Coturnix japonica: one gene and its partners. The protein of the gene in region 1 purifies or fractionates together with the protein of each later gene. This does not show direct contact. Links are inferred from orthologs where the notes say so. Each region holds a gene or a part of one and is shown in the gene's direction. Other genes may lie near its edges. The genes, in order: XPO1, NUP214 and NCBP1.

What was found.
Region 2: the proteins of XPO1 (region 1) and NUP214 purify together in Homo sapiens (affinity purification with western blotting; 4 studies listed by BioGRID and IntAct, with this or other methods). This does not show direct contact. The link is inferred for Coturnix japonica from reciprocal best matches to the Homo sapiens genes XPO1 and NUP214.
Region 3: the proteins of XPO1 (region 1) and NCBP1 purify together in Homo sapiens (affinity purification with western blotting; 3 studies listed by BioGRID and IntAct, with this or other methods). This does not show direct contact. The link is inferred for Coturnix japonica from reciprocal best matches to the Homo sapiens genes XPO1 and NCBP1.

Annotation. Positions count from the first base shown.
Region 1 is NC_029518.1:5,210,789-5,221,067, forward strand, and holds part of XPO1 (exportin-1), read left to right. Parts: intron 1-681; coding exon 682-820; intron 821-1,817; coding exon 1,818-1,999; intron 2,000-2,808; coding exon 2,809-2,965; intron 2,966-3,066; coding exon 3,067-3,230; exon of another isoform or gene 3,231-3,720; intron 3,721-4,012; coding exon 4,013-4,147; intron 4,148-4,503; coding exon 4,504-4,687; intron 4,688-5,755; coding exon 5,756-5,862; intron 5,863-6,725; coding exon 6,726-6,920; intron 6,921-7,779; coding exon 7,780-7,948; intron 7,949-8,936; coding exon 8,937-9,071; intron 9,072-9,170; coding exon 9,171-9,330; intron 9,331-9,408; coding exon 9,409-9,505; intron 9,506-10,159; coding exon 10,160-10,279. UniProt on the Homo sapiens protein: Mediates the nuclear export of cellular proteins (cargos) bearing a leucine-rich nuclear export signal (NES) and of RNAs.
Region 2 is NC_029532.1:4,672,374-4,682,752, forward strand, and holds the start of NUP214 (nuclear pore complex protein Nup214), read left to right. Parts: upstream 1-5,287; 5' UTR 5,288-5,424; coding exon 5,425-5,466; intron 5,467-6,448; coding exon 6,449-6,644; intron 6,645-7,202; coding exon 7,203-7,354; intron 7,355-7,824; coding exon 7,825-8,029; intron 8,030-8,641; coding exon 8,642-8,712; intron 8,713-9,033; coding exon 9,034-9,097; intron 9,098-9,370; coding exon 9,371-9,474; intron 9,475-9,658; coding exon 9,659-9,765; intron 9,766-10,158; coding exon 10,159-10,225; intron 10,226-10,379. Other genes in the region: AIF1L (allograft inflammatory factor 1-like), read left to right, coding at 919-1,081, 2,496-2,583. UniProt on the Homo sapiens protein: Part of the nuclear pore complex. Has a critical role in nucleocytoplasmic transport.
Region 3 is NC_029547.1:62,565,843-62,576,121, reverse strand, and holds part of NCBP1 (nuclear cap-binding protein subunit 1), read left to right. Parts: intron 1-382; coding exon 383-504; intron 505-1,024; coding exon 1,025-1,094; intron 1,095-2,700; coding exon 2,701-2,916; intron 2,917-3,830; coding exon 3,831-3,928; intron 3,929-4,948; coding exon 4,949-5,012; intron 5,013-8,808; coding exon 8,809-8,919; intron 8,920-9,976; coding exon 9,977-10,041; intron 10,042-10,279. UniProt on the Homo sapiens protein: Component of the cap-binding complex (CBC), which binds cotranscriptionally to the 5'-cap of pre-mRNAs and is involved in various processes such as pre-mRNA splicing, translation regulation, nonsense-mediated mRNA decay, RNA-mediated gene silencing (RNAi) by microRNAs (miRNAs) and mRNA export.

The DNA of each region.
Region 1 (10,279 bases):
TAGTGTGCTCTTTTGGTACTATGTATGAACATAAGAGAGAATTTATATCTGTACAATTTACTTAAACATACTAACCCTGTTTTCTTCCACGTTACCACCTCAAGAGCTTCATTTTTAACTTTGTAATAGAATTGTTGTGTAGGATTTGCGTAGTAGATTTGCTAAATCTTGTTAATAGTTTCTGTAATTAGTGGTTTCCAGCATGGATCTTGGTGTGGGGTTTGTGGAAAAAATCGTTAACTTCTGTTTAGAGAGTAAGGACAACTTGATGTTTTTTTCAGTCACTGTGGTGGAGTTGTGTTCTCTACTCAGGAACGAGATTTCAAAACTAGGACAGTGTATCTTAGTATTAAAAATAGTGTATTGTTAATGAATTGGTGGTATAAGAGCTGTGGTAAAAATTAAACAGCATGCGTCAGAGGAAAAAATGTGCATGTATTTAAAAGATTTTCAATACATACATCCTATGTAACACAAGGTATGGTACTTTTTTAAACAACTCCTAATCTTGCAGAGATGGAAATCAGCTCTACTCTTAATGTTATTTTAGCTAGTGTGTCCCTTCGGAATGTTCCTTGCCATTTGATTGTATGTGAGCTGACTTGAGGACTTGCTGGATACCTACCCTTTATTTTCATGTTACAGTACAATTCAATTGAAACTTCCCTTTGTAACATACAGGTTCGATTGCTAATGGTCAGCCGTATGGCTAAACCTGAAGAAGTGCTAGTGGTGGAAAATGATCAAGGGGAAGTAGTACGAGAATTCATGAAGGATACAGATTCCATAAACTTATATAAAAATATGAGAGAAACATTGGGTAAGTGTGGTGGCTGATAGTGTTGTATTGTAGATCTGTGCAACTGCACCAGTACCATGTGTATAGCACAATTATATGAGGGGACAGGGGAGGAAATGGATTTGAAGCAGGGTTGTCATACATGTAAGGTCAGGTTGTTAGACTTCAATAATAACATTTTTCTGTTAAATGAAAACACTGGAATGGAGCACTGAGTATTTATTAGCAACTTCATGAATGTAAAACACAAGCATTATTTTATTCTCACTGCTGTACTTTTGAAGTAAATATACTTAACGCATTTGTTCTGATATATATTTATTTTTAAATTATATATTAAATGTATTAAAATTACTGCAGTATATTCTCATCCTTAGTAATGTTTCCAGATACAGGTGTCAGACAGTCTTTAGTTTGAATTTTGGTGTTTGTTATTGCTTAGTGTGCTGTCATAATAGAAGATTCGCCTCTTAAAAAGGCAAGAGTACAGTGAAAGTGGCACTGTAAAAATCCATTGCTAAATCTGACCTTTATGCTGCTTTTTGACTTGGTGGGATTATTTATTTTACTTATGTTAGAGAGTTTTTTTAGGGGCTGATGGAATGGTCTGAGCTGATAAAGCTGAATCTTTTCACTTAGACTAGGTTCAGGTGTACCATCTCCATTTTAATGGCGGGTTATTAAATCCAACAGATGTAATGACACTGAAATAATGAACAGAGGAGAATTATTGACTGACTTGTTAAATGCAGCATAATAACCTCAGAGCTAGCCTATGTCATATTTCCTATGGCTCATGAGTATGTATGCATTTTATTAATTATTTAACTTAGTAGCTTTACTGATCTGACTGATAGAAAATATACTTGTCTTTACAACTCTAGCAGATCTGGGTTTAAATTCTTAGCTTGTTCTATCATAAGCTCACAAGAGAAGTATTACACTTAGCATTTTGATTTTGTCTTAGAAATTAACTTAAAAATAATCTTGCTTACTTTTACTGTTAATTTTCTTTCAGTGTATCTTACGCATCTGGATTATGCAGACACAGAACGAATAATGACAGAGAAACTTCATAATCAAGTGAATGGGACAGAATGGTCATGGAAAAATTTGAATACACTGTGTTGGGCTATAGGCTCAATCAGTGGAGCAATGCATGAAGAAGATGAAAAAAGATTCCTTGTTACAGTAATTAAGGTATTGTGTTACAAAACTAACAGCTTTGTCATACTTGATAGTTTATGCTCAAGAAATTGAGCTTAAAAAGACACTGCTCTACATTCTTCAGTAAGCTGTCTTGTACAGCAAACATATTGATGAAAATAATTTGATGGGAAATACCATATACTGAATGTTAGGTCGATAAATTCCTCAGTCATGAAAAATGCTTGAATTCAAATAGCCTTTTCACTGTGAAAATTCTGGAGAGGAAAGTTTGGCTTATGATGAAGTATTTTGCTTTAGGAATGCAGAAGATATGGAAAAAAAGCACTAATGAAGTAAGAGTAGCCTTAATGAAGCAAAGTAACGTGCATTGTTTTTAACCAAATAGCACTCTTCACTTCATGTTTAGTAAATGTGTGTGTGGAAAGAGTACAGGAAGAAAATGTTATCTACAGGAGTAATTAAGCATTGCTGTTACATCATAAAAATACTGCAGAGAGGATTTAGTTTCCCCTACTTGCTGTGCAATACCTGTATGTTTATCTGTATCAACTGATTGGTCAGTAGTCAACACTGAGGGTTGCTGTAGTCTGCCCTGTATACGTCATTAATTACATTTAAAACACATGGCTGAAAAGGTGTTGTTCTAGATTTGGCTGAAACTTAGAATTGTCCTGATCTTTAACTCTTCTTGTTTGTTTTTTATTTTTTAAATCAATTTGGCTTGGAGTTTAATAATAGCATTTACTCTACCGCATCATTATGATAGCTTAATTTAGCCTTTATACTGCTCTTCTAACCTACAAACTTGGGGAGGTGACTAATAATATGTTACATTGTAGGATCTCCTAGGACTCTGTGAACAAAAGAGAGGAAAAGACAACAAAGCCATTATTGCATCAAATATTATGTACATAGTAGGCCAATACCCACGTTTCTTGAGAGCTCACTGGAAGTTTTTGAAGACAGTAGTCAACAAGCTATTTGAGTTTATGCATGGTAACTATCTCTTCTACTTGCTGTTCTGACTTTCTTGATGCCGAGTACAAGTGCATGTCTGGGGGAAAATTCAAAACAGTAACTGATCTCATTTGATTTAGAAACCCATGATGGTGTCCAGGATATGGCTTGTGATACCTTCATTAAAATAGCACAAAAGTGCCGCCGACATTTTGTTCAGGTTCAAGTGGGAGAAGTAATGCCTTTCATTGATGAAATCTTGAACAATATAAATACAATCATCTGTGACCTTCAGCCACAACAGGTACATATAATTCAGGACTGTAAGTTTGTGAAGATGAGTAAAAAGTTGTGACATAACGAAACTTGATAGTAGACTTTTAAGATTTGCATTGTATTTTTTAGTCATATTGTGTGAGTGTGTGTGTGTGTTAGTGAATGTTATGTTACAGACGGTATGATTGTGTTACATTATTAAGGCCTTAATTAGAATTCTTGAAAAGAGAATTAAAGTGTGCCGAGTTGAAATTCTTTTTTCTGGAATGCTTCTACAAGTAAATAATAGTAAATCTGATTTTGAGGTTTTGATTAGCAAAGAAGAGTATTCTACTGTGATAGCATACTTATGGGTCTTGCGTGTCCAGTGGCAAGAGCATACCTGCAGGGAGAATGTGTTCTTACAGAGTGTAGTGCATGCACAGCTGATGCATTGCAGTGAAAACCTTGGAAACCTTGGGCTGAGGAGGTATTAAGTTCCGACTTCTGATTTTCTGCACTCGATTTAGCTCAAAGTTCTGTAAAAGAAATAAATGGAGCTGTATCATAAGAGAAAGCATATGCCTGAAATTGCTTCAGGTAAAAATGAAGGAGGTCTCTGAGATAGTAACATTGGAAGGGAATGGAGGCTTACCTTAAATGTGGTGTAAGTAAGGAAAAGGTGGAGAAAGATCTTGTAAACTCAAGTGGGAAGTACATGTTTATTCACTGGAAACCCATTTTCAGCTTTTACTACCTGCTAGTTTTGAACATGGTAAACTTCTGGGTAGTCTTCCTTAACCTTTCTGTTTGACTTGTTTTTCCAATCAGGTGCATACGTTCTATGAAGCAGTAGGATACATGATTGGGGCACAAACAGACCAGACTGTACAGGAGCATCTGATAGAAAAATACATGTTGCTCCCCAATCAAGTATGGGACAGCATAATTCAGCAGGCAACAAAAGTAAGGCCATAAATTTTAAGTGTATTCAATTAAAATAAAACAGCTGAATGTTTGTTTCTGTGTTGTTTGTTTGTTTGTTTTGGGGTTTGTTGTTCTTTTTACTCCTGGAATTAGGTGAAGTTAGCTGGGGTGTACTTATATAAAGCAATGGTTGATGTGACAGTAAAAGTGTTGTTTGAAAAGAGAAGACTTGAATGACTTAAGAGTGGTTTAAATCCAGTGTAAAGAATTTCACAGAAAATCCCTTAGCAGTGTGTAAGATAAATTCTTGCAAGTGACCATTTTTGTACTAGAATATAAGTGGCTTTTTTTTTTTTTTTTTTGACTAAATGGAAATAACTAAACTTTTTCAACAGAATGTTGATATTCTGAAGGATCCCGAAACGGTTAAGCAGCTTGGTAGCATTCTGAAAACCAATGTAAGAGCATGCAAAGCAGTTGGCCACCCCTTTGTGATTCAGCTTGGAAGAATTTATTTAGATATGCTGAATGTGTACAAGTGCCTAAGTGAAAATATTTCTGCAGCTATTCAGGCTAATGGTAAGAAATCTCATATTTTTCTTAATGGGATTGACAGTGCATGTCATCAGGTTTGAAGTTCATTACAGCTGGGCTTATCTTACTGTGCATGTGTTTTTTGTTTGTTGTTTGTGCGGGGGGGGCAAGAGAATGACCTAAGGTACCTAACCAGTTTTTACTGGATAGGTTAGAGTTGTATGATATCTAAGTAGAATGTGCTGCTGTAGTAGTTCTTGATGAGATGAAATGGATTGGTTATATTGGATCTGTCTTACAAAAGATTTTCTTACCCATGCAAATAATAATACTAGTGAATGCTTGGACTTAACCACTGAACAGCTGGTTGACCTTGAAGTCGCTTCTCTGAATTCAGAATAAAAGTGCCTGTGAAGTCAATACATTTCTGAACTCTGCAGCTCTTATTACAGAACTTGTTCTTATTTAAAACAAAAGCAAAACACAACAACCAAAATGGGAAGCAGTTGCTAGGACTTGTAGTCCTGAGATTTTACTAGGGCGAGAGCTATTGTGATTGCACTTAACTCAGAGTATGTTCTTACAACTGGTTATCTCTGATGCCTGCAGTAGCAGTTCTACCTTTGTTTCCCTGACCGCGGTCTTCCAGGGTTTCTCTTGGATATGCTGTTATAATTGTGTGGCCATGCACTCAATTAGGGCAGGTTTTACTGATGAGACTTAATTGACTTGGATGTGAGAAAATGAAATAAAAATTATGCTCCTTGTAGTAAAGACAAGTTTGAATTATAAAGTTTGTGACAAAATCAGGAGCTTGCTTTAAAACACTGCATAACTTGGTGTCTTCTTGTCACTAAGTAAGAGACAGAGGTAAGCTTGATCCAGGTGGTTAAATGAACATGCAGTATTCCCTTACTGGAAAGGTAAGTTACAGCTTTGTTTTTGAGTTGTGCAGGCAGTCAGTAGTAGTGTCATAATACCAAATTGCAACTTGGACCTATGTTACTGAAATAACGGGGAGGTAGTTTTTATAAAAATGAAACATTCTGAATTTTTAAAGTCTTCTTGTTGGCACATCTTACCTAGATTAAGTGAAGCCTTACAACTTTTCAGGTGAAATGGTAACAAAGCAGCCCTTAATTAGAAGTATGAGGACTGTGAAAAGGGAGACTTTAAAACTGATTTCTGGCTGGGTGAGCAGGTCCAATGATCCTCAGATGGTAAGTAAATTCATATTAAAACAAATAATTCATAGAACAACATCAGGAAGAACTCTGCTCTTTGGCTGAGGAGCTGTCAGTGCTGTTCTGTTCACAGAAACTAGTTTCAGAACTGCAGTATATGAAGGAAGGATAAGGTGTGATCATACAGATGGTAGGCCTGAGCTGTATTTTGATTGCTTCGGTTTCAGCTGAGAGGAATGCTAAGGGAAAGTAAGAAGGTGTAAGACAGTCCTCAGGCAACCACTGCTGGATGAATACTGTGGGTGGGGAGTATATGGTTATGTAACATATCATCACAGAATCACCAAGGTTGGAAAAGACATGTATGATCATCCAGTCCAACTGTCCCCCTGTCACTAATAGTTCTTACTAAACCACGTCCCTCAACAGAGCATCTAAGTATTTCTTGAGCGCTTCCAGTGTTGGTGGCTCAACCACCTCCCTAGGCAGCCCATTCCAGTTCCTGACCACTTCAGAAAAGCAGTATTTCCTAACATCCAGCCTGAATTCCCCCTGGTGCAACGTGAGGCCATTCCCTTTAGTCCTGTCACCAGTTATGCAAGAGAAGTGGCTGACTCACAGCTCAGTAAAGCATCCATTCAGGTAGTTATAGAGGGCAGTGTCTCCCCTGAGCTTCCTGCAGACTGAACAATCCTGGCTCCCTCAACCACTTGTTTCCAGACCCCTCACCAGTTTCATTGCCCTTCTCTGGACATGTACCAGGGCCTCAGTGTCTTTCTTGCAGTGAGGGGTCAATTTCCTCTACCTATTTTTAGCTTCTTTCAGAACTACCTTGTAATTGCTTGAGATTTTGTTCAGTAACCGCACTGTTGTAACAGTATCTTGCTGGTTTTTTTTAGGTTGCTGAAAACTTTGTTCCTCCTTTGTTGGATGCAGTTCTCATTGACTACCAGAGAAATGTTCCAGCTGCTAGAGAACCTGAAGTACTTAGTACTATGGCTATTATTGTAAACAAGCTGGGTGGACATATTACTGCTGAAATACCTCAGATATTTGATGCTGTTTTTGAGTGCACGTTAAACATGATCAATAAGGTATTATATGTAAATTTTTGATAAAGGAAAAAAAAAAAGGAGGGGGTGGGAATTTTGAGAGTACTAGTCTTTGGGTATTGCAAGAAAGGGGGCAGTATGTAGTTGACATAGTGTTATTCTATGACTTCTGTTTTATGGAAATTAGGTTGAGGTTCATGAATTCTGGCTGTCCAGGTGAATGTCTTAGTCTCATTGACTTAATTTCTTAATACAGTCCTAAAATTAAATTATTAGTTTTTTTTCTGTTCCAAGACCTTGAAATGTCATGATTCTGGAAGCTGAAGTATGCTTTGAGTAGACTTCAGTGTAGGGTGAATGACTTGAATTCATATATACTTATCATTACTCATATTCATAATTTTTTAGTTCATTGTATGTTTCCTTGATGAATTCCTTAGTTGATAGAGTTTCTGTGCTACTGTTTGCAGGTACTTGCATAATACTGGCTAGATTAGTGCCATTTTGCACTAGTATGGGCCAGAAAGTGCATCCCTGTAGTAGCTAGGTGCTTAATTGCTGAGGCCAACTGTCTTGTGTCTGTGGAACCAAGTAGTAATAATAGAAGTTGTATATTGACAAAATGTGGTTCAGCCTGCTGATGTGTAACTAGAAAATGTTCTTATGAAGCTTTGGTGGTGGAAGTGTGGGGAAAAATTTCACTGGGAATTTGGGAACTGTAAATTTCTTCAAATCTGAGATCTAAATGCTATTCTGTATTGGATATTGACTTGCTCTTCTTAGCAGGAGATCTGTGGATAGTGGATCTTTGAGCTATTCCGGAAGCTTGACAGACTGTTCTTTTTTTTTCGTTTCTCCCTCTTTCCCCCCCCAAACCTTTCCCCGTGCCCCTCACTCTCAGGACTTTGAAGAATATCCTGAACACAGAACAAACTTCTTCTTGCTACTCCAGGCTGTAAATTCTCATTGCTTCCCAGCATTCCTGGCCATTCCACCTGCACAGTTCAAACTTGTTTTGGATTCTATTATTTGGGCTTTCAAGCATACAATGAGAAATGTTGCAGATACAGGTAAATTGAGGTTTTAAGTGTTAAGCATGTAGATTGCTGCTTTCTTGCATTTTTAGTCAAATATAGTGTTCCAGTCACACTGTATTTGCTGCAGAAGAACAGTATTTTCCTATCTCAATTTCAAGTTGACAACTAGACACCCATTAACGTACTGAAATAGTTGGATGTTTTTACTCACAGAAGAGGGCATTTGTTTCTGCGTGCTTTCTCTTTATAGAGTGTGAGGTTTTTTCTGAAATGGCTGAACCGATGCAACAGCTCATAGCTGGTTTTCTGCTTCAGCTTTCATTGTGCTGTTTGGAGTGTTTAACTTCTTCCCTCACTTAGGCAGTCTCTAAGTTACTACTGAAAAAGACAGCAGAAAAATGGTGAGTGAATTTGGTCTGGGAGACAGCTATGACATAAAGCAAGGGAAGTACTCCAGACTAAAGGAAAACTCCTTTTGAACAACAGCAAGTTACACTTCATCTCAGGTTTCACTGAGAAGCTATTTTTAGCACACCTGAGTAATTAAATGTCCTCTAGGATGAGAGTTCCCAAGAAAGGCTAGGAAAAGCTGTGTAAATGTCATAAATTCTGAAAGCATCTCAACCACAGGATAAAAATGATTGTTTTGAAGCTACCTCAATACTAGCTAATTGTTTATGTTTGTAAGATGCCTTTGTGTTGCATTTCAGGTATTAAGGTAACTGTTGGTGTGATTTTTTCCCTTCCTGAATTAACTAGTATGTCTTCATAGAGTTTCTCACTTTTGTACCAGTGAAATCATGTGGTTGGCTCTTCGTGGTTCTGCCTTCTAATAATGAAAACCATGTTGGTGCTCAGTATAAATGTGGCTGCCGCCCTCTACTGGCTGCTTGAATGATTAGTTTAAACTGCAATGCTTGTCAGAATTTCTTGGGATGTTTGTCTCACTTTGAAAAGACTTAAGGATGAATGGAGCTTTTGGTATAGTTTGGTTCATTTTTCTTTTATGCAAATTTTTCAGGACTTCAGATACTTTACACTCTGCTACAAAATGTTGCACAAGAAGAGGCTGCTGCTCAGAGTTTCTATCAGACATATTTCTGTGATATCCTTCAGCACATCTTCTCTGTTGTAACAGATACTTCGCACACTGCTGGTAAGATTGTGAACCAGGTGAAAACAAGCCTTTCAAACATCATAGTAATGTTGCATTTCTTGTTCTGAATAATAACATGTATAATTTTGATCTGTTCAGGTTTGACAATGCATGCATCAATCCTTGCATACATGTTCAACTTGGTAGAAGAGGGAAAAATAAGTACTCCATTGAATCCTGGAAATCCAGTGAACAACCAAATGTTTATTCAAGAATACGTTGCTAATCTCCTCAAATCTGCATTTCCTCATCTGCAAGAGTAAGTGTCCTGTAATTGTCTTATACTTTTGAGTGGATACTTACATACTGAAGTACTAATGGATGTATTTGCTGTTAGTGCCCAGGTTAAGCTGTTTGTAACAGGACTCTTCAGTTTAAACCAGGATATTCCTGCCTTCAAGGAGCACCTAAGGGATTTCCTGGTCCAAATCAAGGTATGTTTGGCATGGTTTCTTAGAGAATTGTAAAAAATATGTAGCAGGATGATGTTTTTAAGTTTTTGGACGGTGTTCATTTATAATAGGGCATACATTTTATTACTACTTAAAATTGTCATGGCTCGAGGGTCTAGATACTGGATCATGTAATCCATTTCAGTGTAATTTAATTGTATAGGTTAAGTTTAAATGCATGCTGTTGCTTATACATTGGTCATACTTACAGGTCTAAAATGGCCATAAAGCAGATCTTGTTTCATTTCTGCTTGGGACTAGGGTGTGTTTTGAAAGTTGACAGACTAGTGCTCTGCTTTTATTTTTCCAAAGATGCTAAAATTAAAGATGATTGTACGAAAGTACATGTTAAAGATGTTCTCAGGCTACGTTAGGTAGATATTTCAAAAACTGTAAAGAGACTGTTTTAATGATAAGGTCAAACAAAAAGCAATGTTACTGTACCATGATGCATGGTGAATATCTTAGAAATTTTTGTCTTAGAATCTGATCTTACATGCTGGAAGCAAAACAAGAAATAGTCTGACAAGGATGCGAAGGGAAGATGTTACCAACATTGTTTTTGATATTTTCAGAAGCTTATTGCTCTTCCTGATGCAGTTAAAGTGAAGTAATGGTTTTGTGTGAATTGTGCAGGAATTTGCAGGTGAAGACACATCAGATTTATTCTTGGAGGAAAGAGAAACAGCCCTTCGACAAGCTCAAGAGGAGAAACATAAACTTCAGATGTCTGTACCTGGCATCCTTAATCCACAT
Region 2 (10,379 bases), on another chromosome or scaffold:
GGTGGCTTCCTGGCTCTGCAGCCCCTGCTTTGGAATCTCAGTTTTCTCAGTGCTGATCTCCTCCTGGTGCTTTGTGTTTAGCATCTTTACTCTTAATGATTTATTCTGTTTCTCCACTCGGGCCTTTTCAATACTCAGCCATCTCCAGAGCAGGGAAGATGCAGGGCGTGGGTTCTCCTGGGCTTTGCCTGGCTGGAGGAGGAAGCTGTGTCAAACCACAAGCACTTGTAGTGTGGAGAAGCACTTGTTTGCTGGGAGGGAAGTGGAGGGAAGAAAGGGAAGTGGATGTGTGGCCTGGCAGGGAGGACCCTGCTTTAGAGCTGGAAAGCAGAAGTAAAGATGCAGGTTTCTCCAGGCCTGGAGCAGGCACCTGAAGGCAAGCGCTTGCATTTAGCCCTTGCAGGAGGTTCCTGCCTGGCTCCCTTCCTCCACCAAGCCTTAAAATCAGCCTGGGGAGCTGGAGGAGCTTGGCCCTGCTGTGCTTTTCTTCCAGGAGGGAAGGGGCTGCAAGTCTCTGGTCTGGTGAGAGCAATGGAAGGAAACGACCTGCAGTGCTGGGCAGGAGCTCTTGTTCCCAGAACCTCTTTGTCTCCAGCTTTAACCTCAGTGTTGCTTTCTCCCCTCTGTATCCTTGTGATTCTTGGCACTGCTTTCTGAGCTCAGTAGTGGTGTCCCTACATGCCTCTTGAGCACTGTTCTTCTGCAACAGTATGTTTTTCTTTTATTCTTGAGCTGCATGAATAGGACGTGCTGTTCCTTGCTGCCCATACAGCAATGGGGCTGCACTGAGGGCTTCTCTCTGCTTCAGCTGATAACTTCATGCCATCAGTCCTAGCTGGGAGCTCCAGCTTGTGCCTCCAGGTTGGTCCAGGTGCAGTGTTGTTATTTTTCAATAGCACTGATGCCTTACTCTTGCAGATCTGATGTCTGTCAAAAGGATGATGGAGAAGATGGGTGTTCCGAAGACCCACCTAGAGCTGAAGAAGATGATCTCTGAGGTGACCGGAGGGGTTAGCGAGACCATCTCCTACCAGGACTTCGTTAATGTGATGCTTGGCAAACGCTCTGCTGTACTTAAACTGTGAGTGCCATCCATGAGGAGATGGGGGAGATGCTGGGGGAGATGGGAAGCAGAATCTCTGCTGTCTGGCAGAGCTGGAGCTGTGCCTGTTGGGTGGGTGCAGTGGGAGAGGAGGGCCCTTGTGCAAGAGGAGGAAGGACATGAGCAGTAAAAGATGGTCTATATGACTCCTATAACCCACAGGATGGTCCCTCCCTGGCTGATTTCTTTGCAACTTGGGCTGTAGGTGGATAGAAGACATCAGCTTGGGACAGCTGGCTTGTGCTGGGGGAGGTTTGCTCTGCTACCAGCTGTCAGCACTCTCCTCCCACGGCCTCCTCTGCCCTCTCAACAGGGCTCTCAAAGTCCTGCTGTAACAAATGGCTTCCCACCGCTTACTTGGCTCCTTCTGGTAGCAGAGTGGGCTCTCTTGGCTCCATCTCCGCCCCATTGAAGCCTGCCTCTTCCTTTCTCAGCCACAGAAGCTGATCCTGCTTTTGTCTGCAAGCACCATGAATAGGAGCCGCTTCCCTCTATGCCCCATTGCCCCTTTCTGAAAGCAGCTTTAAAAAGGCAGCCAGCTTTCTGGGCAGGTTGGGAGGAAGATGTTGGAGTGTGTTCTCTCTGAGCTGCTACATTCTTTTGGCAGTCTCTTCCCTCCCACTCAGAACCCTGTGTGTGTCTGCATGTTGGGATGCCCCTTTTCCAAGTGCACACTCTCTTCTGACAACTCTGCTCTGCTCTTCATTGAAGCAGGCTGAGCCTGCAGCCAGCCCCGTATCGTCTATTCTTCCTCCCAACTGCAGCAGCTTTCACAGATGGGTCCCTTCTTTCGCTAACAAACAGATGCCCCATTGTGTGTTGAGCAGTGTTTAGAGCAGGAGCAGAAATGTAAAACTCGTCCCAAGAGCAGTGCACTCCTTTGATCCACTTTGGCAGCTGGCATTCCCAGCGTAGCTGCAGTCCTTTGGGAGGAAGACAGCACTGGTTGTTGCAAAATGCTTGGGATTCTTCAAGCTACTGCCTTGCTCCTTGTATCAGCCCCCTTTCCTGGCTGTAATTGCCGTTGCTTCATTTAGCTTTTGCACGTTCTGCTGGATGGTTATGCACAAGGTGGGCCAGGGGTGGTTCTTGTTATCCATCAGGAGCACTCAGCACGCAGTGTGCACCAGGGGGATTTCGGAAGTGGCTGTCTAAATAAAACATGCTAATCCTATGGGCTCTGAGAGGAAAACCAGCAGAGGCTTTGGGAACACGCTCCCTGAAGCTACTGGAAAAGCAAAGCTGCTGGCTGAGCTGGCAGCACTGCCCTCTGTTGGCTTCTGTCCTCTGTAATTATCAGATTGCCATAGCATAGAAGGTATGATAATCCCACTCTCAGTGATGAGTAAAGATACACCTGCTTTTTTAATATGTATTATTTATTGTTTTGCAGGGTCATGATGTTTGAAGGAAAAGCCAATGAAAGCAACCCAAGACCTTCCGGTCCACCTCCGGAGAGAGATATAGCCAGCCTCCCTTGAAGAAGACAGGCTGGAAAATTGGCACTGTTTGCTTTGCTGGTCTGTAACAGAGATTACCTGTGCTTTGTTACTCTTCACTGTGAACAGTCCTAGTTTTCAACTAACCTGCCTTAGAGGAACAGCAAGGGAAGCTGGTAACCCCAGCTTGCATCTTTCTGCAGCATCCCTTAGCTAACTTGATTTTCTAGACAGAAGCTGTAGTATAATGTGAGACAAAAAAAAACCCCAAAAAAACCAGTGATCTTAACTCTTTCCTCTGCCCTTCTTGCATTTCTCAGCTAAGAAGGAGCTTTCTACCCAGCTGATGGATTCAGAGCTGTGCTTGTCACAACAGGTTCCTGAAGAGCTTTGCTATCAGATAGCGGCTTCATGGGTGTAAATAAGTGCCTTCTGTTCTGTCCTATGCTTCCTGACTGGAGTCTAGATCCTAGTCCTGGATCTGTGTCCTCATCAGCCCCAGGAGCAAGTTCTACACAATCAGCATGGGATGTCTCTGATGTGCCTGGGTCCTCTACTTCTGGAAGACCTTTGTCAGCTGCTGAGGCTGGGATGTCGTAAGGGAACACTTCTCACTGAATTTAGCAGCTAAAGGACATTCATTGGGCTTCACCTTGAACCAAGTGCTTATCAAAGGTGTTTAGATTTGCAAAAGTCACTGCCTGAAGTCCCCACCTCCCTGAAAGGCTGTAGAGCCACTGTGCCCTTCTGTTCTCAGGCCAGTTTTCTGTGCCCTTCCTTTGTAGTTTGCCTTAGGACAGGATCAGAGCTAACCTGTCAGCAGGAACATGCTCTGTGAGTAACCATGCAGACAGTGTCCTGCTAGCTCCTACTAGAAATGAGATTAGAAATTGTGCCTATTGTATTAATTGCTGGTTACAAGGCAAAGACAAGACCCCTCCATGGGATGCTGTGAACCAAATGCAGACAAACTCAAGGGTGGCTCTGCAACCCTGATGCATAAATCCAACTGAGCCACAACTACAGGAATAAGTTCTGCAAAGTCTGTTTTCATCTAAGGAAAAGCCACTGGCACATTGCTGTTTTTAGCTTTAGGCCCTTCCCCCTGCCCCTTCCTGGTTTGGGTTTGTTCTGCTTTTCTTGGCCTATGAGACTCGTTCATCAGCCATAGCAAAAGAAGCAAGCAGAAAGTGAGAGCTGATCTGCAGAGGGGCAAGCTATGCCAGCAAGTGGGGATGATTAAAGCTACTGTGGGATCCCCTTTCTGATAAAACAACTTGGATCAGACCAGGAACATCATTGCTGAACAAGTGTCTGTCTGTCCAAATGTAGAAATAAGCCTACATAACAATGCCTTTGCAGCCCCTCAGGAAGGCTTTGGGGGGAGGTTGGAGCATCAGTTGTAAGGAAGCAAGGTGACCAAACTGTGAGCCCTGTGAGCTTTCCCAAACCAGCTGTGAATGAGGATCTTTCTTCATGCAGCTGCTCTCCTTGACTTTGCAGACCTCTCTGAATGTGTTTCAGCTCAGTCCTGTGGGGACTGCCAGAAATACTTCCCTGTTGTATAAACCCTAAAGCTTACAAAGGATGGCTGTGAGTGTGGACTAAGCGCAGGGGCTGTGCTGCCCACACTCTGGTTACTGCAGTAAATCTATGCACAACTTCTGGAATCCAGATGTTTGCTCTTTGCCCTTTCCCCCCTTTACTCTTAAACGTTCTTGGCAGCTTCTTAAAATCAGTTTAATAGTTTTTAAAGGAAAACGCAGATGATTAACTTGACTAAGCTTATTGTTCCTGCCAAAGGCTGCACTTTTAAAGAAGAAAACATTCTCACTACTGTCCGCATGAAAACCAAAACTGTAATGGAGAGGAAAAACTGTAAGAGCAGCACCAGCCTGCTTTAAAAACTGAAAATAAACCTCCTGAAGCCACACAGTGTCAGTGTGTTTAGTTGTGTTTCTCTGAAGTTTGGTCCAGAAGATTGGTTGCAGATTAGCTGAGCTGTTTTCCATGTTGGTTAATATAAACCCCCTCCATCAGATCCTGGAGATAGGTTTGGACTGCCTTGATGTGATTTTTATCATTAAGAACTGACCCAGTGCCTGCGAGTTCATGTTATGAAATACAGAGGGTAACTCCTGAAAACCAGCCTGGCTTTCTATAAAGAAAACAGGTGGAAAACAAGTGGCAGTGCTTGTTCTAATGGGTGTTTATGGAGAGCAGATGCGTGCAGCTCTTTCCTGATTACATTTGCATCCTCTCTGCTCTTGAAGCAATGGCTTGAGTGAGGTTATCTGTTGTGTTATCAACACGGAGTCCGGTTCTTTCCTAGGGAACAACAGGCTGTGATTTATGTTTATGTATGTGTTCCTCAATAGGAACAACTGCCATTAGCTCACAGCACTATCTGCTGCCTTTGGGAATGGACCTGCTGTACTGGGCGAGGTGTGAACGCTGTTGTTTGGTCAGCAGCATAAAACAAGGAGGGACGGGGGGTGGATTTGGATGTTTTCTTTGCGTTCAGGTCGTTGCTTTTGCATATCCACGTGCTTCCAACCACCTGCGGGCAAAGCATGGATAGTGCCCACCCTAAGTGGTTGCAATGGGGCCTCGGTAATGCCGACAGCCGCTGTGCTGTAGGAGAAGCAGCTGCGTAGTGCAAGGAATCAAGGCTTTATTAATTAGCAATAATATTAACTCAGCCTATGGCCGCCGGAGGACTGCCGCTACATCCGGCCTCCACCGACCATAGAGAGGCGCTGCCTAGAGCGTCCCCGCCGGAAGCGGAAGTGAAGCGCGGCGTCGCGCGGGGGCTCCTTGGTTCCACGCAGAGTTCCGTGATTGTGCGCTGGTGTGAGGGTGGGCCCCGGGGATCCCGCCGCCATGGGGGAGGATGGAGACCTGGTCCCCGAGCGGGAGATGAAGGTGGGTTCGGTTCTGAGGGGGGTTGTGGGGGGGTGGTGGGTCGGGCTGTGGGCGTGAGGAGGGTTACAGAGCGCTGTGAGGGCCCTGAGGGGTGGGGTGGGTGGGTGTTTGGTCATTGGGGCCTATTGGGTTGGTAGGGGTGTGGGGGGGCTTTTCTTTTCCTCCTTTTATGAAGGGAACTTACTGCCAGGAGGGGAGTAAACTCTTGGAAAGGGCTGACAATAGCAGGACACGGGGAAATGGTTTTAAGTTAAAAGAGGGAAGATTTAGGTTGGATGTTAGGGGGAAGTTCTTCACTAGGAGAGTGGTTAGGCCCTGGAACAGGCTGCCCAGGGAGGTTGTGGATGCCCCGTCCTTGGAGGTGTTCAAGACCAGGTTGGACGGGGCCATGGGCAACCTGATCTAGTAAAGGTGTATGTTTGGTGGCCCTGCCAGGCAGGGGGTTGGAACTACGTGATCCTTGAGGTCCCTTCCAACCCGGGTCATTCTGTGTGATTTTACATAGAAACAGTGTAAGTGATGAGAGAAGTGAATGCACAAAGTCTGTACTGAGCAATTGCTGGTGGTGGGTGGAAGGGATAGCTGTATCTGTTTTTTGTATGATAGGCTGGTTGTTGTAGCCTAGATACAGCTAAATAGTTGTGTGCCTTGTAGCTCCTAGGCAACAAGCTTTTTGTTTCTTTCTCTTTCTTCTCCCCTATCCACTGGCTGGTTTCAGGGATGTTTCTGAGAGCTCCTACAAGGTTTATGAAAGCAGGCTGCTGTATGCAAGAGAGCTTCAGCCAGTGCTTCCAATAACAGCAACACTGTGATCTCAGTCTTTTGTAGGCCAAACATAAGGTGTGATATCATCAGTGATATCATCAGTATGGGTGCTCTGCAGCTCATGGAGACACTTGTCAGCTTGATCTCAGAGAAAGTGAAGTAAACCATTTATGTTCCCCAACATACATAAAGCTATGTTTGAACTCTCTTCCAACAGGACTTTCAGTTCAGAGCTCTGAAGAAGGTTCGCATCTTTGATCCTCCTGATGATCTTCCCAAAGAGCGGTCCAGTCTCCTTGTAGTGTCTAACAAATACGGCCTCGTCTTCGCTGGTGGAGGAACCAGCCTGCAGATCTTTCACACTAGAGATCTTCTCATGCAAAATCAGCTTGGAGAAGATCCCAATAACATTGGTATGATGCGTTCATACATCGCAGTCTTTGCAGATGTTGTTAGTAACCAGTCTCTAACCATAAACGTACATGTATATCAGAGATGTTTGTGATAGGAGAGAGGGGCAGGGTTCTAACCCCAAATAAACTTGGACTATCCTACAAGAGAGGACTTGATGTCTGTTCTGCCACCTCACTACCTAAGTGCATTTAATGCTATAAAAACTCAGTAGCAATAAGAACCGCTTGGTTTTCATTCTCATGTTGTCATTGGTGACTGTACTGCTTGAAGTATCCCTGTGTATGTACCACGAGTAAAACCTGGAAAGCGTCCACTTCATTATCCTCCAGGTTACTGAGGAATGAAAGTGTCATTTCCTTTTCTAAGAAGTTTGAGACTTCTAAGACTGTATTGCTAGAGATGAAGGGATCTGCTTTCGCTCAGTGAATTTTTCTGCATCAATTCTTACAGCTGCTATTTATAATACTTTAGTGAATTTTGCATAAGTTTTTAACTATTGCTTTAAAAATTTTTGCTAAATCCATTCACTTCATTCTCCTCCTCTTCATCTTTTTAAGTGGAGAATGTCCAGGGTACCTCAGTTCCTGTGAAGTTTCCAGTGCAGCACTTGGCACTAAGCTGTGATAATCTCACACTGTCTGTCTGTATGATGTCCAGTGACATTGGTTCCTTCATTGGCTTTTTTGATGTCCGCACGTTCTTTAATCAGGTAAACTGTACCCACAGTGTTTTGTTTTACTCCCCCCGACTACATCTGGGGTATTGTCATGCCTTGAGAGGTGTTTTCTGCCCCTGTGGGAGGTATCTTGTAAAGAAGTTGTTTATTAAACTCAAAATCTGCTTCTTAGCATCATAGAATGGTTTGGGTGTTGGAAGAGATCTTAAAAATTATCTAGCTCCAACCTTATACTAGACCAGGCTTCTCAGGGCCCCATCCAATTTGGCCTTGAATGCTTCAAGGTGTGTCCAACACTTCTCGTCAACCTGTTCCAGTACCTTGCTACCCTCTAGATAAATAATTTCCTCTTAATATCTGATCCAAATCTATCCTCTTTGGTTTAAAGTCATTATCCCACTTATTTCTGTCAGCTGTTAATTTATAGGTGGGCCAAAACTGTTTTGGATTATGACTTTAAGATAAATGCTTTTTGAGCTCAAACATTTTTTCTTTCCTAAAAGTCAAAACAGCAGAAGCGTATGTTTGCCTATCACAAGCTGGCCAAGGACTCGGGAAGTACAGCAATGGTCAATGACCTGAAGTGGAACCCTGCTAGTCCTACCATGGTGGCTGTTTGTCTGTCCGATGGCAGCATCTCTGTCCTGCAGGTCACAGACTCTGTGAAAGTCTATGCCACATTGCCTCCGTCGGTAGCTGTTACCTCTGGTGAGTTTGAGCCTTGGGTAAGATACGGGATGTTGGATGGTTAAGAATAAAAGTGGAAAGAGAGTTGTAAGAAGACAAGCTTTCTGTCGCAGGAAGAAGTTTCTTAAAAATTGAAATAGATCGTGATCAGGATTTATACTCCCTAAGACTATGAAAAAAACTGCTAATACAGTCACACTGATAGTTGCCACTGACTGTATTCCTCTCTCCCACGTTTAACAAAATTGGTGCACCTTTGTGACAACTCTAATATAATTCTTAGGCCTCTGTCTATAGTTTTAACTCGTCCAGATATACTCGTGTCAACTGAAGTGTATGCTTGAAATGTGACTGGATATATTCCACTATAGGGCAATATAAAGCTGCACAGGGGCACACGGGAGTGAAGCTGAAACATGTTTGCAGCTTAGTTAGTACGAGGTTTAAGAATTTCAGCTCTTTTTTCAGTTTGTGACCTAGAAGACAAGACCATGATATTCACAGGAATTGTATTTGTATCCATAGGGTTTTGCAGAGGAAAAACAATGCAGTTTTAATTTATGGGCCCTGCTTTAAGGGACCTCGTAATTCTACATTTCCTTAATGCTGATGGAGTTCTCTTTTTTTCTTTAGTGTGTTGGAGCCCGAAGGGAAAACAACTGGCTGTAGGGAGGCAAAATGGCACTGTGGTACAGTATCTGCCTGTAAGTGTTGTCACTAAGACACTCACTAGTTTGCTATATGCTTCAATTTTTTGCATGTCAGTGTACAGAATTTGAGTTGGGTGGCGTGTGTTGTGAGCCATGCCCAAGCACTTCAGTAATATTAAAGTGTCTTAGACCAGTGCTGGGTTTAGTTTAAGGTGTGCATCTGCCACTTAAATGTAGTGAGTTAACCATGGCACGTGATGAGTGTTAATGAGGGAGTGAGTCACTATAAAACAGTTCTCTGGAGTTCCTCTGAAACTTACAGTTTAGTTGTTTGGGGGCTTTTTTCGTAGTACTTAAGAGTGTTTTTATTTGCAGAATCTGCAAGAGAAGAAGGTAATCCCTTATCCTCCCTTTTATCAGGCAGACAATCCTGTTAAAGGTACATCTTTTTGTTTATTTTTAACTTGTTTCCTCCTTTAAAATACTTTCACTCATTCATCCACTGTTACTGCTTGTTACATCACATTCATAGTACCCTGGTTACATAATTCCTCCTAGTATGACTGATGCTAGATTAATGATTCTTCATCTTTGTTGTTTAGCAGTTAGTGATTCCTTATCTGCTAGCAATGCCATTGTACATTGTAACTCACACTACAAGGAAGTGTTTTGGTGTGTATCTGACTGAGGTATTTGTTTCCTTCTCTTCCAGTTTTGGATGTGCTGTGGATTGGCACCTATGTCTTTGCTATTGTATATGCTGCTGCTGATGGGACGCTGGAAACACCTCCTGAAGTGGTTGTAGCAATATTGCCCGTAAGTTTCCAACAAGTCACAGCTACAGAGAAGTTTCTTGCTTGTTCTTTCTGTTTGTGACAATGGCACAGTGTATATTGCCATCATTTGGATTTTGAGTTTACTGTACCTTGATGAAGCCATATTTACAGGATGTTACTTAATTTCTACATTGGGCAGTAAATAATTAATGCTGGTCTTTCAGAAAAAGGAAGAGAAGCGACCAGAGAAGTTTGTGAATTTCATGGAGCCTTGTTATGGAAGCTGTGCTGAAAGACAACATCATTACTACCTCAACTATGTTGAGGAATGGTGGGTTGTGAGAATCATGATAAAGCTTTTCCCTTGTCATGCATGTCTGAATAGTCTGTTTCTCTCCCTTCTGTAAGCTATATAAGACCTGAATGTGAGCCAAATGAAATTGCCACTTTGAGAATGTTTTATGAATGTATGTGTAATTTCTCCTTTATTTTCATGACAACATACACTGATGACTAATTTTAAAGGAGGAAAAAAAAAAAGGCAACCATTCTACAGAGACAGAGCCAAATGTGTTTCCTTCATCCTGGGAAGGAATAGTCTGCTTCATACTGTTGTAACTCTTTTGTTATTTATGAATTTGGATAGGTAATAATGATTTGCAGAGCTAGAGACCTTGCCTGGATTGTTATGCATCTCGTAACCTACTGGTGTCCATCCTTACAGGGATCTAATTCTGGCAGCTTCGGCCGCTTCCACAGAAGTCAGCATTCTTGCTAGGCAAGGAGATCAGGTAATGCTTTTCTTCCTGCTTCATTTATGTATGCATACCTCCTTTTTCTTGAAAGCCTAAACAAGTAAATCTTTAGTAAGACCTGCAACATGACAGTGTGGTAAGCTTTTAAAAAGCAAAGCAAAAAGATAAACACCAAAACCAAGCAAATAAA
Region 3 (10,279 bases), on another chromosome or scaffold:
GGCAGTTGGGAAATACTTATGTATAGTAAGGAAGTGTGAGCCTCCATAGTGAGGTATCTGCACTGAATGAATCTTACTTTACCTTGGCAGCTGCACAGTGCCTGGCTTGTTCTGCCAGGTTTGTTTACACTCAAAATATAAAGATAACTGCAGGAAGACTGTGAAAGTGATTGTTTTCAAGCCTGATTGTCATAGTTCAAGTTAAAAGTTGTACATTTCTAGCAGTAATGTATGTTTTTTCTTCATTACTTACCTACTGAGTCTTCAGCTGCTGATCTTTGTGTCACCACAAAGCAGTAGTTTAAATTAAAATGGAATGTATGTAGGAAATCTTCTAGAGCTTAGTTGTGTGCTTAAGTCTCAGAATATTTCTTTCCTGTAGGTACGATGTGACTGGTATATGTTCGCATTTCTGTCATCTTTACCTTGGGTTGGAAAGGAATTGTATGAAAAAAAGGATGCTGAGATGGATCGTCTTTTATCACAAACAGAAAGCTATCTGAAGTAAGTTGTAAAATATTCCTTCAAGTACTTATTCAGGATAACAATAACCTTGATTAGTGTTCATTTAAAAAATACCAGGTCCTAGGTCTAAGTTGTTTTCGTTGGGATTGGGGGGAGAATGCATGGAGAAATGTAAGAACACTGTAAAAATGGACAGATGGAGTAATCTACCTTTTAAAATTTAAAAGTTTAGTTGCATTGTCTATTGTTAGGGTATGGTGACAGTCTTGTCCAGCTTGTGCTGGGACAGCTGTAGCAGTAACTGCTGCAAATACTGAAAGGTTACCTTAGTACTGTGCAGTGAGACTAGATTTTGTCTAGGTGATTCAAGTTAGGATTGCTCTCAGGATATGATTGCAGAGATGATAATTAAAACTCTTTTTTTTTTTTCTTTTGCATACTAGACTTCAACAACTGAAGAGATTAAGTAGTAGGGTACTTGTTTTTTCTTTTTTTTTTCCTTATTGTGACTGTACTAAAAATGCTGTTAAGGGTTAGGTTTTCTTTTCTGTGTAAACAGACGCCGCCAGAAGATTCACGTTCCAATGTTACAAGTCTGGACTGCTGATAAACCGCATCCACAGGAAGAGGTGAGTGGGTTCTGTATTGTATTCTTTGAGAAAGTCTGAAAATCTGTTGTGGTAGAAGCACAGGCAGCTTCTATTCAGACAGCTAGAAGATTAAGAGGTACCTCTGAAAGTATTTGTGCTGTTAATTGTCTCCTGTTTGTCATTATTTAAAACAAGTTCTAGGTAAGGAGTTCCTGTCTAAATCTTAGACCTAAGTTGTGGCATGTTATGGGGTGAGTATTAGGTGTTACTAAATGAAGAATGGCTGTAAGCTGTGGCAGTGCTTTTGGAACTGCAAATAGAAGGCTTCGTGCTACTTTTGTGAAAAGCAAAGTGTAATTCCATGCCCCATAGTGTCTTCTCTTTGCTAGGAAGGAGTCTTTAAAGTGGCTTTGCTTTCTCAGCACTAGGAAGTACTAAACAAATGTACAGAAACTGTACTCAGCAGCTTCTGTGCCATCTTTCTTCAATTAAAGTAAAAATACTACAGAGTGGAGGTGGTATCTGTGTAGCTTGGTGTAGAGTTTACCTTCTCTGGTTTTGGTTTTTGTTTTTCTTCTTATTCCTCCCCCAAGTTTGGGGGCAAACTTGGTTGAAAAGTGTGATTAAAAATTAAGTGTATCTTCAGGGAGTTTTTTGACTAGTAATCCTTTGTACATTTTTCTCTGTTCTGATTAAATCAAATCCCTGTTTTTAAATCTCAACAGTCTTAACAACTGTCTTGTTAATGCCAATTTGAAGAAATAGGATTTCTGATAATGACTGTTTCATCATGAGTACTGTTCTTGCGCAATATCTGTTTTCTCATTTAGTTTAGTAAAAAAGAGATTAGCAGAAAGCATTTTAGAGCTTGTGATGTCCAGCATACCTTCAGTGTTACTTTTCATATCAGGTGCTAGTTGTTCGTATTTTTTTTCCATTTCATAGAGTGGTGCAAATGACTTCTTTGTGGAGATTTTTCACCTTAAAACGTGCATTCAGTAAGGCCACACACAGATTGCTAAAGTCTGTGGCCTCCAGACTTCTTGAGCCTGCTTTTAGCAGGGGCATTGAAAGCAGCTGGACAAAGTAGACATGTAGCTAGTATTACAATTAAGTGTGTGTACCATTTCTGAGAGAGTGTTAGGGTTTCCAATTGATCTGAAAATCATAGCAAATATATTTAATTGTTGGTACTATTGCAATTGTCTTCAGTATGCAGCAGCTGGTACTTTTGAACATGGTGGTTCTCCAGAATGTCTCTTCACTTTTAAGTACAGATACCGAATCTCTTTGAATACCACTTGTGAGCACTGACTGAAATGACTGTAGTCTTGCAGATGTGTTCAAAGGGTGGCTGTCATGCTTGCCTGGACTGTCTTTTGCTGTTTAAGAACAGTGGTTAAATTTTGTTAACAGGATATTTGGTGAAATTGGGAGCAGCTCTGATGTTTAGTTTTTGGTTTATTTCTTGATTTAATAAATACTAGATCCCACAAGAAGTAATTTAAGAAATTTGTTTTGTTGTTTTGTTTTTGGGTTTTATTTTTCCTGAATTTAAGGCATGCATTTCTGATTGCACCATAAGCTGCAACTTTTGTTATTGGATTCAGCACATCTGATGTTTTTCACTGTTTTTTCCCTTCAGTATTTAGACTGCCTCTGGTCTCAGATTCAGAAGTTGAAAAAAGACCGCTGGCAAGAACGACACATTCTGAGGCCCTACCTGGCTTTTGATAGCATTCTTTGTGAGGCTTTGCAACACAATCTGCCACCATTCACTCCTCCACCTCACACTGAAGACTCAGTATATCCCATGCCAAGGGTAATTTTTAGGATGTTTGACTACACTGATGACCCAGAGGTACGTAACCCCTGCAGGGGAGGGTGAACTGATTTTGCAGGTAGTGTCATGGTACAACCCAGGTCAAAATATGATGTCCTTTCTCCCAGAATAGTTGGTGCTTTGAAGATGTGCAGTAATTATACTTCAGTGCATCTGCAGAAATGAACTGGATGACAAAGTTACAGTGCAAAGGAAGTCGATGAGGAGTAGAATTTAGGGAGTGAAATTTTTCCAATGCTTGGATTCAGTATTACAGTGCTGAATAAATTCTCTTATGTCTCTCATAATAGCAATCACAAAGATTTTGATCTTTTACCTGACTGGGTATTTATTGCAGTCTTTAGAAAGTACAGTTTACTTCTCTGTTAAAACAAGATGATGCACATTTTTGGGGAAAAGAAGTGTGATTTGTTGGAGTAGGGGAAAGGTCCGTCTAGCCCCCACAGACTACCTCCAGCAGTAGTCTGCAGCAGATGCATAGATAAAATTGTATAGGAATGGGGAGGAGTATGTACTGTTTTCCCCTAGAACCTTTGTAAGTCCCTTTGCTTTAGGTCTACTACCTTCATTTTTTGTCCAGTGATTTTTGCAGTCAGTGAGATCATGACTTTATTCTCTCTGCTCTATTTTTTTTATCATATCCTTACTCAAGAATGCTTCTGAGCAGCCTGTTAGTGGACTGCCTGATTGCTGTATAGATCATAGGAAGAACTGGGTGCGCTGTGAACTTGTGATTATTTTCTCTAATTTTGTTTCCCTCTGTAATGAATCCTCGTATTCATTTTGTTTTAAATACAGGTCGTCAGTGTGCATTCCCAGTAGAATACAAGGCAGTTAAGAACTCACCATGTTTGTTCTATAAACAGCTAACTGTAGTGGCACTGCAGTAATCTTTCATGAGTCATCACCTGTTGTTTTTTCTGTCTAACTAGGGCCCTGTCATGCCTGGCAGCCATTCTGTTGAACGATTTGTAATAGAAGAGAACCTTCACTGCATCATCAAATCCCACTGGAAAGAGAGAAAGACTTGGTAGGAAGAGCTTTGCACTATGGAGCCCAGGCACTTTTTATATAAGAACATGGCTTTGGTAGCATCAGGGATATTCAGAATCCTGGACTGGTTAAACAAGAGCTAGAGATTAAACATTCCCTAGAGCATTTGATTCACTATGGTTATCTGTATTGAAACTGTTACTTGGAATACTGTGGGGCTGTAGTGATAGTGAAGAATCCATCCAATCACAGGGCTGGAGTGGCTGTGACCCCTTGGGAAAGGAATTTGTTGATAATGAAGAACATGCTGCTAAAACTGACACAGACCCACCTACCTCTTTATGCTCCCATGAAGCCCAATGGAGTGTGTGGTCATATTATGCTTCCTGGAATTTAAGAGAAGCTGATCTGTTGAGATGCAGTGAACCTTTAGTTAGTTTATCTATAGCTGGTATTCATGAAGGTGCTTTTGCTGCCTGCTCCTTACTGCAGTCTTTATTTTTGGGATTACATGGGAGAGAGAACTCAGGTAACTGAGCAGCCATTACAGAGCCATAAGATTTCTGCTATTTGAATTTGGAAGTGCCAGGAACCAGTCAAGCCATGTTTCTTCCTTTCTGCTTTGGTAAAGGCTGATGTGGGAAGTGAGGTTGTTTGCCATGGGTAATTAGTTGCCTGTGTCATACTTCTGTGTGAAAGCCACCAAAGTTGGTGTAGTGTGTAAAAATGGTCAGAACCAATGTTTAATAGAATTTGGTGAAGTTATTTGCTTGCAATTTCTTTTTTTATTCTCTTGAATCGGGGTTGTTGCAGGCACTGGAATAATCTCTTACTCCTCTGACAAAGTAAAAGAGGAAAATTTAGTTTGCCAGAGGTAAAAATGTGCTAGTGTGATCTTGTGTTATTGGCAATCTTTGGAAGGGATTTTGGTTGATGACTTTTGTGTGACTTGTGTGACTTCCTGCTGAGAATTAAACATTTCCTATAACTTTGTTAGTTAATCTTTACATTACGTTTGCTGTGTTACACTGAACTAAATGTGTCCGTTCTTCTGCAGTGCTGCTCAGCTGTTGAGCTATCCTGGAAATAACAAGATACCCTTGAACTATCATATAGTAGAGGTATGTATTTTATGAGTTATCTCTTTTGTGGCTCTTTTTTTGCTGTGGTGTTGGTTTTTTGTTTGTTTTTCATATTGACTCTGTTGTCCTGGTCCTGAAAAGAGCTTGTAATGGTACAGTGGTTTGCTTCTTCCAGGGCACCTTTCATTTTAGATGATGTATCAGAAAAACAGTACAGATTTTCTCTTGCTGCCAGCCTTCAGGAGTCTGTTTCTAGGATGCAGGGCTGTTTAAAACCTTGTTCATGTCACCTAAGGCTTTATGAAGAACTAACTACAAGTAGAATTTTGTAGTTAATTATAACAATAAATATATCTTCTGTAGGAGATTTATTTTAATAGGATGGGATTGAGAATTCCTGCTGGCAACAAAATGACAAATAATAAAAGTGCTGTTTAGTTGTGTTACTTATGGTCAAGTCTGCATAGATGAAATGTCTGCACAGGAATGCAAGATTGGTGTATGAACTGTATGAATGTAACCATCAGAATTCTCTTTTTTTCTGCAATTTCTGCATAAATTTTAGAACTTTATTTAGAATTTTATTGCCTATGACTGTGAATTTTTAATGAAATTCAAGAAGCTTTAAGGCATAGCATGTATTTTACAAGCTTCTGAACAGTCTGCTTGCTACTGTTCCTTTATAAGGTCTCTCTCAATAGTCAGGTTAGTATTTTGTTGCTTTCAACAGCAGTTCAGCAGAATTTTCTCATACATTCTGTAATACAACTCAGAACAGCAGAAATAACATAGTCTAACAAATACAGGTGTTATATAAGGTTCAGAAAGTAACAGAGTGACAGAACTAAATGTAGCCTGATGCTGCTCAGCATCTTCCCAAAATGCACTTAGTTTTGAGGTCCGTGAAGCTCCATGTTGTAGTCTGTCAGCTCAAGCATGGAATGCTCCATGCACAGGACTCTGAAACGTGTTGCCTTTTCCTCAGTACTTTCTTATTAAAGTTTACGTGGGTAATACTGGTGGCTGTGAACAGAGATTGTCTGCACAGCGTCACTAGGCTGTTAAACTAGTATTACCTGTTGTACTTGTAAAGCTTTTGGTACTGCTTGGGCCAGACAAAGTTTATATGTTCAGGTTCTCAGTGTATTGACCTTTCTTGTCACTCAGTTGTTTCCACAAAATTTGGTACTGCATGAAATGCTTTACATGAATATTTGATAATGAGCATGTGAATTATATCAGAATTATCATCTAAAGCAGCATCTCAAATAGCTAATGACCTGTCATCCAAGTGTTGTTGTTTCCTGTCTTGAGAGCAGTAGCTCTGTACTTAACGTGTTCCCCAGTGCCTTTTTACCATACATTTCTTAACAACATAATTGAAACAGAATGGCTTCTGTGTACTGTGGCTTTAGTTTCACATGCACACACTTCTCAGCACTGTAAAGTCTCTGTGGATGATATCCCTTCCTTCTGCTGCATCACCTGCACCACTCAGCATAGTGCCATCAGCAAATCTGCTGATTGTGCCAACCCTGCTTTCTAGGTCACTGATCAAGATGTTGGAGAACACCAGTTCTAGGATGGGCCCCTGGGGATCACCAGTCAGTCACCAGCCTCTACATGCTGAACACAATCCTCTGGCTGCAAGCATCCAACCAGTTATTTAACCACCCTTCAAATCTGTATTTCTCTAGTTTAGGGATAAGGATGTAGTGTGGTGTTGCACCAGAAGGGGTTTAGGTTGCATATTAAGCAAAACCTTTCCTCAGAAAGGATGGTGAGGCATTGGAACAGGCTACCCAGGTAGGTGGTGGAGCCACCATCCCTGGAGGTTTTCAAGAAGAGTGTAGATGCAGCATTGATGGATGTTGTTTAGTAGGCATGGTGGTGATTGATTGGTGGTTGGAGCTGAGCACGTTAGAAGTCTTTTCCAACTGTAACTATTTTATGAACATGTCAAAGGCCTTGCAGAAGTCTAGGTAGATGGTATCTCTTGCCTTTCATTTGTCCACTGATGCTGTCACTCCATCACAGAAGGCTGCCAGATTGGTCAGGTATGGTTGGCCCTTGGTGAAGCTCTGCTTGCCGTCTCATATCATCTCCAGTTTCCTGCCTTCTCTGCTTAGTAGATTTCTTATGCTGGGGATGGAGAGTTGTCTTGAAACTGCTGCCAGCTCTGTACTATTCCTTTGTCCACAACAACAGCTTTATGGGGATCCCATCCAGTAATTCTTCAAACAGATGAAATGTCACTCTCCTGAATGTCAGGGTCCCGGCTTTGATCTGTGCCAGGCCCATCTTCCTTAAAATCACAAACTCAAACAGGATGTAGTTGCTATAGCCCATGCTGCCTCCAGTCTTAACCTGTTTCATGATTTCAACTGCATCAGTGAGCTCCAGGTTCAGTAATGCTTCATCCCCTGTTGGTGCAAGGAAGCTGTCCTCAGTAGCACTGCAGAAGTCTCCTGGATTGCTTAAGGCTCACCATGTTGCTTTTCCAGCAGACATCCATGTGGTTGAAATTCCCCATCAGAATGGGGACAGACCACACATCTCTTGCAGACAAAGCAAGAAGACCTCATCAGTGGGCTCCTTGATCAGGGAGCCTGACCACCAGAGGTCCCTTATTGGTATGGTCCCCAGAAGCACTCAACCTGATTGTGACTGTTTTCCAGAGGCAGCTGTTCACACTCTGTGCTTATAGAGCAACTCCTTCCCCACTCCTTCCTTGCCTGTCTTCTGAAACGTTGCAGCCCTCAGCTGAAGTGTTTCCAGTGTTGTGACTTGTCTCACTATGTTTCTGCAATGGCAACTACATCACAGTTTCTAACTGCACCATGGTGTCATCTCCTGCTTATTTTCCATGCTGCATGCATTGGTGTAGAGGTACTTTGGGCAGGCTGTTGGCCACGATGCCTTCTTGTAAGAGCCCTCTGAGACAGATCTGAGGTTTTTCTTTGCTGCTTTCTAAAGTGACAGTGTTTCCTGGCTCTTCTCTGTCACTTAAAAGTACAAGCTCTTCCCCCATCAGATCTTATTTAAAGTTCTCTTAGCCCAGCCAGCTTTCTGCCCATTAAATTGTTGCTCTGTCCCAACAGTTGCATACCATCCAATGTCAGCCTACCCAATCTCTTGAAGGTGTGTCCAGAATCACAGAACCCGTAACCCTGAGATTGATACCATTCCTGCAGCCAGTCACTGGCATGGTCCTTTCACTGCATCCACGTGGGTCACAGTCTCCAGCCAAGAAGAATGAAGAGAACACTACCTGTGTTCCTGATATTTCTGTATCCCAAGGGAGGAGCTTATCGTGTTTTTGTCATTTCCTTGTGGCTTCCTCATGTAACTCATCTTGAAAGAGCAGGAGTGGATAGCAGTCCTCCATCTTTATCAGACCCAGAAGCTTTCTCGATGGAGTTCATCTCCTTATAGAGTATAGAGTGAAAAAGTACTGTCTAATTTTCATGTTGGTTGTCTTTCATATTGTATACTTAGGCTTTGCTTAATGTGTTTAATGTTTATTGTTTAGTAGAACCAGGTTATTCCCACTTTGTTTTGCCAGCACCATTTGGTAACGCTAAATAGAGCATAATGTAGATGTATTTCTTAGATGTGTCTAATGCTGGGACTGTGTTGTGTTAGTACAAAACGATGAGAGTGGTTTAGAATCTTCTAATATGATGTAGAGTTACCACTGTCTTTGTAAGCATCACCTTTTTCTCCTTTTGCTTGACAGAATAATAACAGCCAATTTGAGTATGTGCTTGTTTAAGGCTGATGTTGCTGATCTGAAGCTGACTGTGCTCTGATTCTATGCCTTCCTCTCCTGCAGGTAATTTTTGCAGAGTTGTTTCAGCTTCCTTCTCCACCACACATCGAGGTCATGTACACAACGCTCCTGATTGAACTGTGCAAGCTTCAGCCTGGCTCTTTACCACAAGTTGTATCCTTCCTTTGTTTCCAGAGAGCATTTTTAAAATGGAGTCTTTATGCCACTTGTTCTGTAGGTGAAGAAATAGCAATAAATATTGTCAGTAATCTATTTTACAGCTGCCATATGAGGCTTTGCTTGTAATACTTGCATGAAAGAACAGCACAGCCCGTGTAGCATCGGTCTAGTCTGGGTGACTGAGCAAGACTACTCAGATTTCTGAACACTACGCTGGTACTCCTTTCACTTTCCAAAGAGTTGCTGTTCTAGTATCCTGTTAGGACTGCATAACGTGTGGCCTGATTGCATATTGAAGGCTGAGAAGGAAAGGAAGGGATAAACTTAATCTGTGTGAGCATAGCAGATCATTTAAAATGAACCTGCACAAGTTCCTACTCAGATGCTCTCAGTGGAAGCATCTGGACATGGAAATCCAGACATGGCCTCACCAGGGCAGGAAAGGGAAGGATCACCTCCCTCAGTGCATTAACCACACCTGTTGTAATGCACCCCAGGGTACCATTGGCCTTCTTGGCCAAAAGGACACATTGTTTGAAAATCACGTAATGCCAGTGATTAGAGCTAGAAAGGTTCCTAGAACTGTGGGATCTCTGTGCAGAAGGCTTTTAATGTTAATAGGGATGCTGTAAAAGAACAAAGCCTTTGTTGGGCAAAGCCAGCGTAGACACAGTTTCTTGAGTTTTCAGTTATGATCAAAGGTTGTTTGTGCATGAGTATCAAGAGCAGCCTGTTAAGGTACAAGGAAGGTTACAGAAGTACTTGATTGTTATCTGTTTGTGTCTGTACAGTTCTGTTGCGTGAAGAGAATTCTAACTTGGTGTAGCAGACAGCAATCTCACTGCCATGGAAGAGAAACAGTGTTAGATGGGAAAATGCTTTTTGGCTTCTTGTCTTTCTGTTATCCCCCCCCTATGAATTTAGTGTGATTTACCTGCTTCTGGAATAGTCCAAAGGAGCTATCAGTTCTTGCAGTTCTATTCCAAAACTGAATGGAATTGCATTTGATTTATCCTAGTGCTTTTTTGTTAACCTTAATAAGAAACTTCAGCTTGCACAAGCCACAGAAATGCTCTACATGCGTTTGGATACAATGAATACAACCTGTGTTGACAGGTAAATGTGTTTTCCAGGGATGGAAAATATTCTTTGTTTTTTCTATGTGCTGGGCATTAAGGAATCTACAGAAAAAATAATCCAAAATTCTTACTATAAATCCTTAGTGCCATTCAAAACAATTTTGGAGGGCTCTTGATATGATCAATGTAAATAGAAGTTTGGGGCCTTGTGCCCTTTCTTTCTAAAACACTCCGCTATAGTGCTGGCAAGAACTTCTGTGTATCCATCCATATGG